Linked DNA regions of Xenopus tropicalis. Each later gene encodes a partner of the first gene's protein in a complex. Links are inferred from orthologs where the notes say so. Each region holds a gene or a part of one and is shown in the gene's direction. Other genes may lie near its edges.

Evidence for each region.
Region 2: the proteins of mfsd1 (region 1) and glmp are in contact, whole or in part, in a cryo-EM structure (PDB 8R8Q), measured with the Mus musculus proteins. The link is inferred for Xenopus tropicalis from reciprocal best matches to the Homo sapiens genes MFSD1 and GLMP. Residues at the interface, in NP_080089.1 of Mus musculus: Val288, Glu292, Lys293, Arg295, Phe349, Phe351, Leu411, Asp412, Lys414, Gly415, Tyr416, Leu417, Leu418, Val421, Ile424, Ser428, Leu432, Val435, Leu439; in NP_064387.1 of Mus musculus: Glu250, Asn252, Ser253, Ile254, Asp255, Asp256, Glu257, Pro260, Ala261, Phe263, Gln264, Arg292, Phe364, Leu367, Val368, Ile371, Met372, Ala375, Ala378, Leu381, Met382, Gly385, Phe389.

The regions. Positions count from the first base shown.
Region 1 is NC_030681.2:115,200,745-115,207,675, reverse strand, and holds part of mfsd1 (major facilitator superfamily domain-containing protein 1), read left to right. Parts: intron 1-2,561; coding exon 2,562-2,674; intron 2,675-3,089; coding exon 3,090-3,132; intron 3,133-3,441; coding exon 3,442-3,509; intron 3,510-3,911; coding exon 3,912-4,020; intron 4,021-4,419; coding exon 4,420-4,522; intron 4,523-5,305; coding exon 5,306-5,404; intron 5,405-6,210; coding exon 6,211-6,322; intron 6,323-6,931. UniProt on the Homo sapiens protein: Lysosomal dipeptide uniporter that selectively exports lysine, arginine or histidine-containing dipeptides with a net positive charge from the lysosome lumen into the cytosol.
Region 2 is NC_030684.2:142,076,239-142,083,907, forward strand, and holds the start of glmp (glycosylated lysosomal membrane protein), read left to right. Parts: upstream 1-2,916; 5' UTR 2,917-3,121; intron 3,122-3,253; 5' UTR 3,254-3,359; coding exon 3,360-3,440; intron 3,441-7,669. Other genes in the region: cct3 (T-complex protein 1 subunit gamma), read left to right, coding at 1-136, 216-461, 973-1,104, 1,558-1,674. UniProt on the Homo sapiens protein: Required to protect lysosomal transporter MFSD1 from lysosomal proteolysis and for MFSD1 lysosomal localization.

The DNA.
Region 1 (6,931 bases):
GGGTGAAATGTATGATGTACTTGGTGTTGCTGAAATATGGCTGAATTAGTCACATGACTGACCAGTAAATCTAGGAGGCTATACTTTGTTTCGAAGGGGCAGGGGAAATAGAAAAGGATGAGGGGCATGTATGTTTGTTAAGCAGGGCTTAAAAGCCATTGTTAAGGAAGAAGTGTGATGATGGAAAATGTGGGAGCTGAATCCTTATGGGTGGACCCTTTCACAGATTAAGAATCCATCAAATTAATTGTAGGGGTATTCTACAGCCCCCCCCAATGTAAATAAAGAGGAAGCTCCTGTTGCAAATAGAAAAAAGGCTACTAGATTGCGGTGAGTAATGATAATGGGGGATTTTGAAGGTGTTTACCTTTAAATTTTAGTATGATGTAGAGAGTGCTATTTGAGACAATTTGCAATTGGTCTTCATTTATTATTAATTGCGGTTTTTAAATTATTTAGCATTTCAGCAGCTCTCCAGTTTGGAATTTAAGCAGCTGTCTGGTTGCTATGGTCCAGTTTAACTTAGCAACCAGGCAGGGGTTTGAATGAGAGACTGGGATATGAATAGTAAGAGGGTCAAAATAAAAAAGTACCGTATATACTCAAGTATAAGCCGAGTTTTTCAGCACGAAAAATGTGCTTAAAAACTCATGCTCAGCTTATACTCGAGTGAATATAGGCTGCGCTGGCATTCGGTGCGTACGCCACACACCCATCCCCCCCCGTGTGCGGGGTGTGGCATACGCGCCGAATGCCAGCGCAGCCTGAAGAGCTATAGGAAACCTTTGCCTTTTCTTTGAGGAAGGAGCTCTCCAAAAAAGCAGCTAACTTGCTCCTGGCACCTGAAATTCTATCTCTGACATACTGCACTGACAACACCAGAATGAGAGGTAGGAAAGGAAGGAGAGATGCATAGCATCCAGGGTTGGTGCTAAAGTATCTGATTGCTGGCCACCAGCACAGATTGGAAGTTTTAGCCATACCTTTAGGGCTAATCAACTGGATGTATATTTTATGTTTTCTTACTATATAATTTTACATTAGGCCATTTCCAGTCTTCATGCTTTCTCCTTTTTTTCTAGTTTTTTTTTCTAGAAGAGGACAAATTAAGATTGCTGTATTATCATAGCATATGTCTGAATCTAGCCAAGGCGTGTATAAGATCTTTACCTAGAAATTCTGACAAGCAGCAGTTGAGAACACTGCTCTGATTGGTGGGAGATTCAGTGCTTTGCTCACAGTAGCTAGGCATCGGGCACAGCCTTCCAGATGGGAGTGAGTAAAATTATTTTAGGCTCCATCCACCTTTCCCTAATCACCTTTCCCTAATCTGCAGCTGCCAACATTTTATATTTATTATGAGTTGACATGGGGTCACGCTGAGTGTCCTTTATTAATTATTTGATTATTGAAACTTAGCAGTAGCTGCTGCATTTCCCACCCTAGGCTTATACTCGAGTCAATAAGTTTTTACAGTTTTCTTAGGTAAAATTAGGTACCTCGGCTTATATTCGGATCGGCTTATATACAGTAATAAAAAGTGACAATAACATTGTAGCCTCACAGAGTAATCATTTATGGCCTGTTGGGGTCAGTGACCCCCATTGGAAAGCTGGAAAGAATCAGAAAAGAGAGGCAAATAATTGCAAAAATATAAAAAATGAAGACCAATTGAAAAGTTGCTAAGAACAGGCCATTCTATAACATACTAAAAATTAACCTGCAGGTGAACCACCCCTTTATTACTCAGGTGTAAACTGGCAAATGTGCAAGTAGTGGAAACCCTGGGTAATAATGACTATAATGTTATCTCATTTAATGTTTGGAGTTAAAAGCACATATACAGTGGGGCAACAAAGATTCTGAATTTCAGAAAAGTAAATTTTAGCTCCTTGCGGGCAGTACTTCAGAGCATAGTTTGTGGTGGTACGTTTTCTTCTGAAAACACAAAACAGAAATGGTTGTAATTTTAAATGATGTTAAATCAATAATATTCTGGATATACTTTAAAAAGTAAATGTAGGACCTTTAAGGACAACCCTAGGGGGCCGATTCATTAAAACACGAGTTCGAATCCCGAAAAATTCGGATTGGAATACGATAATTTCTGAAGATCGCAAATATCACGAAAATGCTTACGAAAAAATCGGATTAGTCACGATAATAGCGGATGGGCAATCCGAAAGTCACGAAATTTTCATACCGAACGATTGTAAACAGCGGCAGAACGTTTCTGAATTTTTCACGCACGTGCACGAAAGAGTCTTGCAAGCGTACGAAAAAGTGGTGCAGGCGCGAAAAAATCGGTGAAAATACGCTTGGAGCGTTCGTGTCTTAATAAATCTCCCCCTATGTGTAAATCTGTAAGTAAAGTAAATCAGTGCTTTGTGCTCTGCCAGCTTTGTTAAAATGAGCCCTGCAGGGCACAGCAGTCCTAGTGGAGGGCTAATCTGATGGCCTGCCTTGCTTAAAACAGACCAATTGTTGCTGAACAATTTTTTTTTTTTGAATAATCTGAATCTGAATAATTTGTTTGTTTTTTTTTGTTTTTTTAAATAAAGGATATGAAGGTGAACACAGCAGACTTTATGCAATTATATGCATTTTACTCTTGGCCCAATGTTGTACTGTGTTTTTTTGGAGGATTTCTGATTGACCGAGTTTTTGGAATTAGGTAAGCTTGCTTCCATTTGGTATTCATTCTTAAGTTTGAAATGAATGTATAAGACAGTAATGAGACAGTGTGCCTTAGAGGTGATATATAGTGAAAATGAAAAATATATGTATAGCAGTATTACAACTAACATGAATTGTAATAACGGCGCCATTTTAATATTTGTTACAAATATTTTCGACCTATTAAAAATCGTATTTATTGTCATCTGTGCAGTGATTAAAGGTGTGGTCCATAGCCATGATTAATGGTGTGGTTCTGCACAGCACTTGATCACACTTTCCCATAAAGATCCTGTGGCATTACCCTAAAATAATATTGCTGATGTACTGATAAGCTTTCATATATGTTGATGGCAAGTTACTGAATAAATATTTCAAAGGTGATTGATACTATTGTTTGTTTGTTTCCATAGGCTGGGCACCATAATATTTAGTTTGTTTGTTTGTGTAGGACAGGTAAGCATAACTTTTTATAAAGTAATGTATATATCACACTCAAGTGGCAATAATAATGAAAAAGTTTTAGCCTGTCATTTGCTTGCATATTTCCTGTTAAAGTAACAGTAATACCAGGTCCTATACCTGTACCTATAAAAAATAATTTAAATATTATTTAACACTGATAAACAAAACGTCATATTTTCACCTGGTTAGACATTCCAATTATGAACCCATCAGTCCTTTTAAGCTGATTCAAAGGTGAGTCTGGAGTTTCTGTACCCTGGAAAGGCAATCTGTGATTATTGTATTGTTGTTACTTCCTAGGTCATATTTGCAACAGGAGCTTTAGTTAATGCATTTTGGCTGATGGAAGCTGGGCGATTAGTGTTTGGGTGAGTATAAAAGTGTACCGTCCCTAGGAATTACAAACTTCTAGGGATTATGCCAGTTGTTGTATTGTGAACCTATCCACCGAGCACTTTCGTTATGACATCCTGATGCCAGGATGCTTTTGAGCTCCCCCCACAGCTGTGAGCTGTATGAGTGCGCTACAAGTTACTCAACCCCTTTATCCAAGCAGAGAATGCAGATATTCTAGATGTTGCTGTAACCTGTGATATAGGGGCAGAATAACATTATACCTGTGAAAATTATGGGATTTCGAAAGAGAGGGAAGCAGCATTTGTGAACAGATTTGCATGCTATGTGGCTACTAAATGATAATAATTACAACATACTTTTTGCACACCCACTATTTCCCCTTGCCTTATGGTATTCCTTCTCTTAACTTGCAGAATTGGTGGAGAGTCACTAGCTGTTGCACAAAATACCTATGCAGTCAGTTGGTTCAAAGGAAAAGAACTGAACCTGGTATTTGGCCTGCAGCTTAGTATGGCTAGAGTGGTAAGTTCCAATAGTCCAATCTGAAGTTTAACCCCTTCATAGCCACAGCAGCAAGAACAAATCATGACTGCCGGATTTGTCACTACATTCATTCATGCCACAATTGGCACCTTTCATACATTTATAGTCTTCATTTATCTATAAGTGCACAGGCATTATATATAGGTTTAGTAGCTTTGAACCTGTAAAAGCATGCTGTTCTTCTTTGCACACATCCTGCCCATCCAGTTCCATTGTTATCAGAGGATTTCTATGATATACAGTGGTGCTTGAAAGTTTGTAAACCCATTATACCATTAAACCCATATATATATATATATATATTATTTTGGATTTTGCTTTAAATTTTATTTACAAATTTTAATGAACACATCAATTAATGATAGTTTTGATTTTCAGGGCAGCACGGTTAATATGAATGTTATGGGTCTTGTATACAGTAGGATAAAGGATCACATGGGTGCTGCTGGCTACAGTACACTTGGTGTCACCCTTATGATTGGTAAGTTTGTGTGGTGATGGTTGAAAGATACTCAGCGTAAAGCAGTGTGACTTTCTTGGGAAGTAGATTATGGTTAAACATGTACCATTTGTTAGGTTCGATATTGAAAGATTTACAGTTGTACAGTCCATGTTAAAGGTACACAGACCTTCTTAATTTATATTTTGTAAGTTATCTTTAGAATGTTTTTTTTGATTAAACAGATCTGATGGCCTTGCCATTAGTAACAGTCTCCACAGCCCATGTGCCTAAAATACAAGCAACAAGATTCTTTTTCGATGCATTAATGCTTTAAGGTGTGCTTGGCCAAAAAATTTGTTTATGCCATGCAACATATTATAATATATATAATCACATAAATATGTAAATAGTAATTTGAAGCTTTATATTTGATGCAGTTACTCCGTCATGGCTCTGTATTTCACAGCCGAATACACATACTAGTCTACAAATTATGGGCAGAGAGATGGTCATCATCATTTATATAGCGCCAGCAAGTTACTTAGTGCTTTACATTAATTTATAGCAAACAGGAGTCTTAAAATAATTTAACAAACAAGGTTTCATGAGTAAAAATAAAATCAGAGGGCCCTAATCTCAAGAGCTTGCAGTCTAAAGAGTCATGAAGTTTCTGGATCTCATTTGACCCCCTGATACATTAAACAATCAGAAATGTGGTGGAAAGTAATCTGACTGAGAGAGATAAAACGACGGGAGTTAGAGGAATATTAAAGAACAGTATGCGTATGAGTTTCATACACCCTTCTTTTATTTGACTTGCAGGGGCTGTAACCTGTATTTTCTCTCTAATATGTGCTCTTGTACTTGGCTATCTGGACAAACGTGCTGAAAAAATACTCGACAAAGAACAGGGGAAAACAGGTTAGTTGAGAGAGCCTAACTAGTAGAAATGTGAATATCTGTGCAGGATGCTACCCTCATGTTGTTAATTTAAATTTGAAAGAAACAATGAATGCTGCTGAATACATGTATGGGAATCTCTTATCTGTAAACCAAATATCCAGGAAACTTCAATAATAATAATTCTAGTTATTTTTAAATAATTCTTTTTTCTCTGTAATAATAAAATAGTACCAAGTACTTGATGGTAACTAAGCTGCATAAATTAACATTGGTGGCAAAACAATCCTATAGTTTTTTTTATATCTTTTATGTTTTAAGCAATAAAATAATACAACCATTAAACAGTTATTTGTTTTACAAAATAGTAATAATCCTATTTTTTTTATGTTTAAATACTTTTCTGTAGACTTGGTATGGTGATCCACATTACATAAAACCCCTAATCCCAAGCATTTCGGACAATAGATCCCATACCTGTATATAATTTGTTTTTTTGAAAGTTGTTTGTATTTATTTTCCTCTGCCACATAACAGTTGCATAGCCTTTGTGAATTGAATTCAGTAGACAGTCTGAGGCAATACATTATGAACCAGGTCTTTCTGTGAACTGCAGGTTTACCCTGCAAAAAGAAATCTGTAGAAAGTGTTACTTTAGGAAAGCACCTACAGCTTGGCAATTTAAGAAACCTTTAACATCAGAGATTTACAGAATAATGTGCATAAATAGCTAAAATACTAGATTTATTAGGGCAATCGTTCATTTTGTATAGAAAGAATATATAATGTGTATATTAACTTTCCTTTTGCATATGTTCGTTTGTCAGGTGAAGTTATACAGCTGACGGATGTTAAGGATTTTTCCCTTTCCCTGTGGCTGATCTTTATCATCTGTGTGTGTTATTATGTTGCTGTGTTTCCTTTTATTGGGCTGGGAAAGTAAGTTGGTTTCAGTTATGTAATGATTTATGGATTTACAGCTATGTAATAGTTTTTAAAAATGGTATAGTATATTGACAATTTTTCAGTTCTTAAGTAAAGGAGAACTAAAAGATCTTAACTGCAGAAATTCGGCAGCCCTATGATAGTAATGCTTCAAAGTTGTTCACAGCAATTACCCATTTTTGATCTTTTTTAAGAACTTTGATCTTTTATAAGTGTGAGTGGCATTGCACATGCTCAGTGAGGCCTAGGCTGCTGTTAAGAATCAAAAAATGCCCTCCCCTTTAAACAAAACAGGGATTGTTTGTCCATATATTGCAATATATTATATCAAGCATTTGTTGGTAGTTTAATGCACAAAGGGCAACCATTTGGGAGTTTTGAACCCTGGAAAGCAAGAATGTTGCAGGTAATACTTCGTTCCAATGAAAATGTATTTTAGAATTCTTAATGATTTAGAGAAAAGGCAGTGTAGGATTGGCAAGACCAGGGTTGCCTTTGACATGATTGGGCAGGCAGTCCTTAAAAAAAAAAAAAAAAAAAAAAAGAGCACACAAAGAAAAACTCCCATAGTGTGTCTCCAATGGTATAATTACAGGGCTTACC
Region 2 (7,669 bases), on another chromosome or scaffold:
AGAAGACGTCGGAACTGGCGCCGGGCTCTTCGAAATCAAGAAGATCGGAGATGAGTATTTCACCTTCATCACCGAGTGCAAGGACCCCAAAGCCTGCACCATTGTCCTGCGCGGAGCCAGCAAAGAGATCCTGGCAGTAAGTGCCTCCCAGCATCCTCTGCTTTTCTCCGCCCCCCCCCCCTTTTTTTTTTTTTAACCTTATTCCTTTCCCGCAGGAGGTAGAGCGTAACCTGCAGGATGCCATGCAAGTCTGTCGCAACGTGGTCATCGACCCTCACCTGGTGCCGGGGGGTGGAGCTGCCGAGATGAGCGTGGCTCATATCCTCACTGAGAAATCCAAGACCATGACGGGGGTGGAGCAATGGCCGTACCGCGCAGTGGCCCAGGCCCTCGAGGTCATACCCAGGACTCTCGTACAGAACTGCGGCGCCAGCACCATCCGTGTACTCACGTCTCTGAGGGTAAGTCCCAGGGAAATTCTGCAGCTTCATTGGCCGGTATATAAAGGCTTTTAAAGGGGAAGGAAAGGTGGAACCAACAAATGTATTTGTAGCTGTAATATTGGTGTGTAGGCGCCATCTCAGTGCATTGTGCCTGAGTCTGAGCTTTCAGCCAGCGCTACCCATTAGAACTGCTTTCAGCTAACCTATTGTTTCTCCTACTCCCATGTAACTGGAGGAGTCCCAAGCCGGACTTGGATTTCTTACTATTGAGTGCTATTCCGATACCTACTGGGAGATGCTATCTTGCTCCCTTCCCATTGTTCTGCTGATCGGCTGCTGGGGGTGAGGGGGGGGATATCACTCCAACTTGCAGTGCAGCAGTAAAGTGTGAGTGAAGTTTAATGAAGACTGAAGAAATTGGCAGACTCCACCTTTCCTTCTCCTATAAGCTGGGCCAGTAACTTGCGTGGGGCTGCATTTAGAGTCCCACCGTGTCCCCCAATAATATCCCTGCCGCTCTGTTCCCCAGGCCAAACACACACAGGAAGGCTGCCAGACCTGGGGAGTGGATGGGGAGGCCGGAGTTCTGGTCGACATGAAGGAATTGGGCATCTGGGAGCCGCTGGCTGTCAAGCTGCAAACCTACAAAACTGCAGTGGAGGTAAGGCCTGATGGGTAGTTAACCCTTCCCATGCTGCCCACTTTTGCACCGCACAGAATCTAGTTCTGGTATTGGTTCTGTAGATGTGTTCTGGGTGGGAATGAAGGGTTAATGGTAGCAATTAAGTTACTTTTCATTTACGCACGCTCAGGGGAGGGGGGGGTGTGAAGGCTGCGCAGGGGGGCCCATTGGGCTGTGTGAATTATATAGATGAGCCCCACACTCTTTGCCAGGGTCGGACTGGGGGGGGGTAGAGGGCCCACTGTGGCTATTGCCTTAGGGGCCCCTGAACCCCCCAGTCCAGCTCTGGCAAAAGGTGTGGGGCTCATCTATATAATTCGCATACAGAACATGCCCGGGTTTATATTTATAAAGCTGGACAAGACGGTGAAAACAAAATGGCGGGCGTGGGGGCTATAATTTTTTACAGTCGCATTGTTTCCTTCCCCACAGACGGCCATTCTGCTGCTCCGCATTGACGACATCGTATCGGGCCACAAGAGAAAGGGAGAAGACCACGGCAGGCAGCCGGCAGCCCCCGGCCCACAGGCCCCCCCAGAAGCAGAATGAGGAGGGAGAGTAAAGGACGGAACGGCGCCGGCGTCCCACCGAAGCACTTGAACAGCTTTATTTTATTTTTTTCATTAAAGCTGTTGTCTCCGCCCACCGCCTCTGTATCCGCATCCTGGCAGGGCGGAAACGTTCTATTTATTACGGTGTGGGAGGAGCCTGACGGGAGGCTTAGGGGAGATTGTAAGAGAAACATCTATGTAACGATTCGCTACCGACAATAAAACTTCGTTTGGATTCCACTTGTGTGTGTTTGCCTGATTTATGGGGTGTCATTTGTATAAACCTGCACCCCGAAAATATATATAATAGATCTAAATTAGACTATTCCCCATAGGTGTATAATGCAATGATGCTTTACTTACCCTTTAAATAGGAAAAGGTGTGTTTTTTTTTTTTTTTTTTTTTTGACAAATCTGAAGTAGTGTAACATTTTGCTGCTGTATTTGAAACCCGGGGGGAGGGGGGGCACAGCTTCTATTGGGATAAATGATTCGGCAGCTAGAGGACAGGGTTTCATTGATGTTTAAAGGGGAAATAAAGCCTTTGTAATATTCCTGCTAAAACGAGCAATGTGTAATATACAAGTGTGTTTGGGTGTGTCCCAAGGTTCCTACCCCAGATGCAGCACAGTATGGTGTGGGCGGGGGGGGCTCAGTATTTTGCAATGATTTAAACTGATCTCTTATAGAAAATCATATAGTTAAATGCACAAGTCCAGGGGCACAAAGGCAAAGTGGGTCCCCTCTCTGCTCTCTCACTAGCTTTTTGCACTATCCTGGGCATGCTCAGTGCTGCCGATGTGCGTCCTATGTGTACAGACCAATCCCTTGGCTCTGCTATGGATATGGGGGCATGACTGGGGTTCATAGAGGCCTTAGAATGAAGCAAGTTGCTGGGTGTGATTACATCAGGTTGGGTTAATACTAAATGTGTAATGCTTGGTTGGACTCTCTGGGGTGGGGGACACCAAAGTCTGACAGCCCCATATGACAGAGGCAGTTTGGGAAATGGGGAATGTTTATTATAGAGTGTATTACCGGTGAGCGACCAATGAGCAATTGGATTTTAACACCTACAAGTTGGAAAACAAAAGCTCTGATTGGTTGCTATGGGCAACATCACCCACCCATGTTTCTAGCCATTTGGCTACCATTTGTGGGGTAATTGCCCCCCCCCCCCCCCCACTTCCCTATATAATATATAGTCCTTGCGTCTCCCCATAGAGGGGGCAAATGCCTGAGGGGCAGCAGTAAGAGCCATAGGCAATTGGGCAGTTTGAGTCTCTCCCAGCCGGGGCCCGTACCCCCCGCAGAGCCCTGTATTGGGCAAAGGCCGCCTGACAGACCCCGGCTTTATATTGGGCTATTGCGGCCTCCGTATGTTACTGGCTCTGCCCGCACTCACTGGGGCCAATCGGCCCGCAAGCGATCCCTGAGCGCCAAGAGCAGCGCCTGTCTGCCCCGGGGCATCATGGGAGTCAGCGCCTGTCTGCCCCGGGGCATCATGGGAGTCAGTGCCTGTCTGCCCCGGGGCATCATGGGAGTCAGCGCCTGTCTGCCCCGGGGCATCATGGGAGTCAGCGCCTGTCTGCCCCGGGGCATCATGGGAGTCAGCGCGTCACCTGACTGATCATGTGACAAGCCGGAAGCGATACCGGGGAAACAGAAGCGGCAGTCGGGGAAATGGCTAGTGACCGGGGGTGGCGGCTGCTCCTGTTCGGGCTCCTGTGTGTAGGGGCCCTGGGGCAGGAGCAGAGCCGGGAGGTGAGTCTGTTCTGTATTATACAGGGGTAAGTAGGGGAGGGGCATTATACAGGGGTATGTAGGGGAGGGGGCATTATACAGGGGTAAGTAGGGGAGGGGGGCATTATACAGGGGTATGTAGGGGAGGGGCATTATACAGGGGTATGTAGGGGAGGGGGCATTATACAGGGGTATGTAGGGGAGGGGCATTATACAGGGGTATGTAGGGGAGGGGGGCATTATACAGGGGTATGTAGGGGGGGGGGCATTATACCAGGGGTATGTAGGGGAGGGGGGCATTATACAGGGGTTATGTAGGGGAGGGGGCATTATACAGGGGTATGTAGGGGAGGGGGCATTATACAGGGGTATGTAGGGGAGGGGGGCATTATACAGGGTATGTAGGGGAGGGGGGCATTATACAGGGGTATGTAGGGGAGGGGGCATTATACAGGGGGTATGTAGGGGAGGGGGGCATTATACAGGGGTATGTAGGGGAGGGGGCATTATACAGGGGTATGTAGGGGAGGGGGCATTATACAGGGGTATGTAGGGGAGGGGGCATTATACAGGGGTATGTAGGGGGGGGGGGCATTATACAGGGGTATGTAGGGGAGGGGGCATTATACAGGGGTATGTAGGGGAGGGGGCATTATACAGGGGTATGTAGGGGAGGGGGGCATTATACAGGGGTATGTAGGTGGAGGGGGGCATTATACAGGGGTATGTAGGGGAGGGGGGCATTATACAGGGGTATGTAGGGGAGGGGGCATTATACAGGGGTATGTAGGGGAGGGGGGCATTATACAGGGGTATGTAGGGGAGGGGGCATTATACAGGGGTATGTAGGGGAGGGGGGCATTATACAGGGGTATGTAGGGAGGGGTATTATACAGGGGTATGTAGGGGAGGGGCATTATACAGGGGTAAGTAGGGGAGGGGGGCATTATACAGGGGTATGTAGGGGAGGGGGGCATTATACAGGGGTATGTAGGGGAGGGGGGCATTATACAGGGGTATGTAGGGGAGGGGGGCATTATACAGGGGTATGTAGGGGAGGGGGGCATTATACAGGGGTATGTAGGGGAGGGGGGCATTATACAGGGGTATGTAGGGGAGGGGGGCATTATACAGGGGTATGTAGGGGAGGGGCATTATACAGGGGTAAGTAGGGGAGGGGGGCATTATACAGGGGTATGTAGGGGAGGGGGGCATTATACAGGGGTATGTAGGGGAGGGGGCATTATACAGGGGTATGTAGGGGAGGGGGCATTATACAGGGGTATGTAGGGGAGGGGCATTATACAGGGGTATGTAGGGGAGGGGGGCATTATACAGGGGTATGTAGGGGAGGGGCATTATACAGGGGTATGTAGGGGCATTATACAGGGGTATGTAGGGGAGGGGCTTTATACAGGGGTAAGTAGGGGAGGGGGCATTATACAGGGGTATGTAGGGGCATTATACAGGGGTATGTAGGGGAGGGGCTTTATACAGGGGTAAGTAGGGGAGGGGGCATTATACAGGGGTATGTAGGGAGGGGCATTATACAGGGGTATGTAGGGGAGGGGCATTATACAGGGGTATGTAGGGGAGGGGGCATTATACAGGGGTATGTAGGGGAGGGGGGCATTATACAGGGGTAAGTAGGGGAGGGGGGGCATTATACAGGGGTATGTAGGGGAGGGGGCATTATACAGGGGTATGTAGGGGAGGGGCATTATACAGGGGTATGTAGGGGAGGGGGCATTATACAGGGGTATGTAGGGGAGGGGGCATTATACAGGGGTATGTAGGGGAGGGGGCATTATACAGGGGTATGTAGGGAGGGGCATTATACAGGGGTATGTAGGGGAGGGGGCATTATACAGGAGTATGTAGGGGAGGGGGCATTATACAGGGGTATGTAGGGGAGGGGGCATTATACAGGGGTATGTAGGGGAGGGGGCATTATACAGGGGTATGTAGGGGAGGGGCATTATACAGGGGTATGTAGGGGAGGGGGCATTATACAGGGGTATGTAGGGGAGTGGGTAGTACGACATGCAGGGAAGAAAGGGTTAATGGAAGGAATGCAGCTGCCAGCGAATCAGAAAGCAGAAGTGGCTGTGCTGGGACAAAGGGAACCAGAGGACACACAGAGCTGTGATTGGGCATGTCATTAACCCCTTCAGCTCCTCCCAGTACTGTAGCACTAATGGTTTGGCACAGCAGTAGCACAGAATGCCCCTCTAGCCCCGCCCCATGTAACTGCCCCCTGCTGCCTGATACCTAGTGCTGGGCGGTATGACCAAAAATTTATATCACGGTATTTTTCAAAATTATATCGGTATCACGGTATTTGACGGTATTTTTTTTCCCCCATGCATGATTAGGTGACCACCCCAAACACCCGCCACCCGCACCCCCCCGCCACCCCAAACACCCCCCCATCCGCACGCAGCCCCCCCACCCCCCCATCCGCACGCACCCCCCCACCCCAAACACCCCCCATCCGCACGCACCCCCCCCCACCCCCACGCACCCCCCCCACCCCAAACACCCCCCCATCCGCACACACACCCCCCACCCCACCCCAAACACCCCCCATCCCCTTCACATAAATATAACCCCCCACCCCACCCCCCCCAAACACCCCCCCATCCCCTTCACATAAGTATAACCCACCCACCCCCACCCCAAACACCCCCCCATCCCCTTCACATAAATATAACCCCCCACCCCACCCCACCCAAACACAACCCCATCCCCTTCACATAAGTATAACCCACCCACCCCCACCCATCCCCTTCACATAAAATATAATTACTGGCCAGGAACCCCCCGACAGCTCACATTGGTATCCGACTCTGAATGCGTCCTAGTGATGGCGCTTTTGTAGAGTGTGCGCGCTGACGTCACGTGCGCACCCGGAAGTATTCAGCACACCGGTATGGGGGTATGTAGAAAATTCATATCGGTTTCAAAAAAACAAAACGGTGATCGGTTTTTACCGGTATACCGCCCAGCACTACTGATACCCATGTATTGTGGGGGTGCCGACAAGCCCCCCCAGTCTCATAGAACTATAACTAATAACCATGTTGTGCCCCCCAGTCTCACAGAACTCCTACTAATACCCATGTTGTGCCCCCCAGTCTCACAGAACTCCTACTAATACCCATGTTGTGCCCCCCAGTCTCACAGAACTCCTACTAATACCCATGTTGTGCCCCCAGTCTCACAGAACTCCTACTAATACCCATGTTGTGCCCCCAGTCTCACAGAACTCTAATACCCATGTTGTGCCCCCAGTCTCACAGAACTCCTACTAATACCCATGTTGTGCCCCCCAGTCTCACAGAAACTCCTACTAATACCCATGTTGTGCCCCCCAGTCTCACAGAACTCATACTTATACCCATGTTGTGCCCCCCAGTCTCACAGAACTCATACTAATACCCATGTTGTGCCCCCCAGTCTCACAGAACTCCTACTAATACCCATGTTGTGCCCCCCAGTCTCACAGAACTCCTACTAATACCCATGTTGGTGCCCCCAGTCTCACAGAACTCCTACTAATACCCATGTTGTGCCCCCCAGTCTCACAGAACTCCTACTAATACCATGTTGTGCCCCCCAGTCTCACAGAACTCCTACTAATACCCATGTTGTGCCCCCCAGTCTCACAGAACTCCTACTAATACCCATGTTGTGCCCCCCAGTCTCACAGAACTCCTACTAATCCCCATGTTGTGCCCCCCAGTCTCACAGAACTCCTACTAATACCCATGTTGTGCCCCCCAGTCTCACAGAACTCCTACTAATACCCATGTTGTGCCCCCCAGTCTCACAGAACTCATACTTATACCCATGTTGTGCCCCCCAGTCTCACAGAACTCCTACTAATACCCATGTTGTGCCCCCCAGTCTCACAGAACTCCTACTAATACCCATGTTGTGCCCCCCAGTCTCACAGAACTCCTACTAATACCCATGTTGTGCCCCCCAGTCTCACAGAACTCCTACTAATACCCATGTTGTGCCCCCCAGTCTCACAGAACTCCTACTAATACCCATGTTGTGCCCCCCAGTCTCACAGAACTCATACTTATACCCATGTTGTGCCCCCCCAGTCTCACAGAACTCCTACTAATACCCATGTTGTGCCCCCCAGTGTCACAGAACTCCTACTAATACCCATGTTGTGCCCCCCAGTCTCACAGAACTCCTACTAATACCCATGTTGTGCCCCCCAGTCTCACAGAACT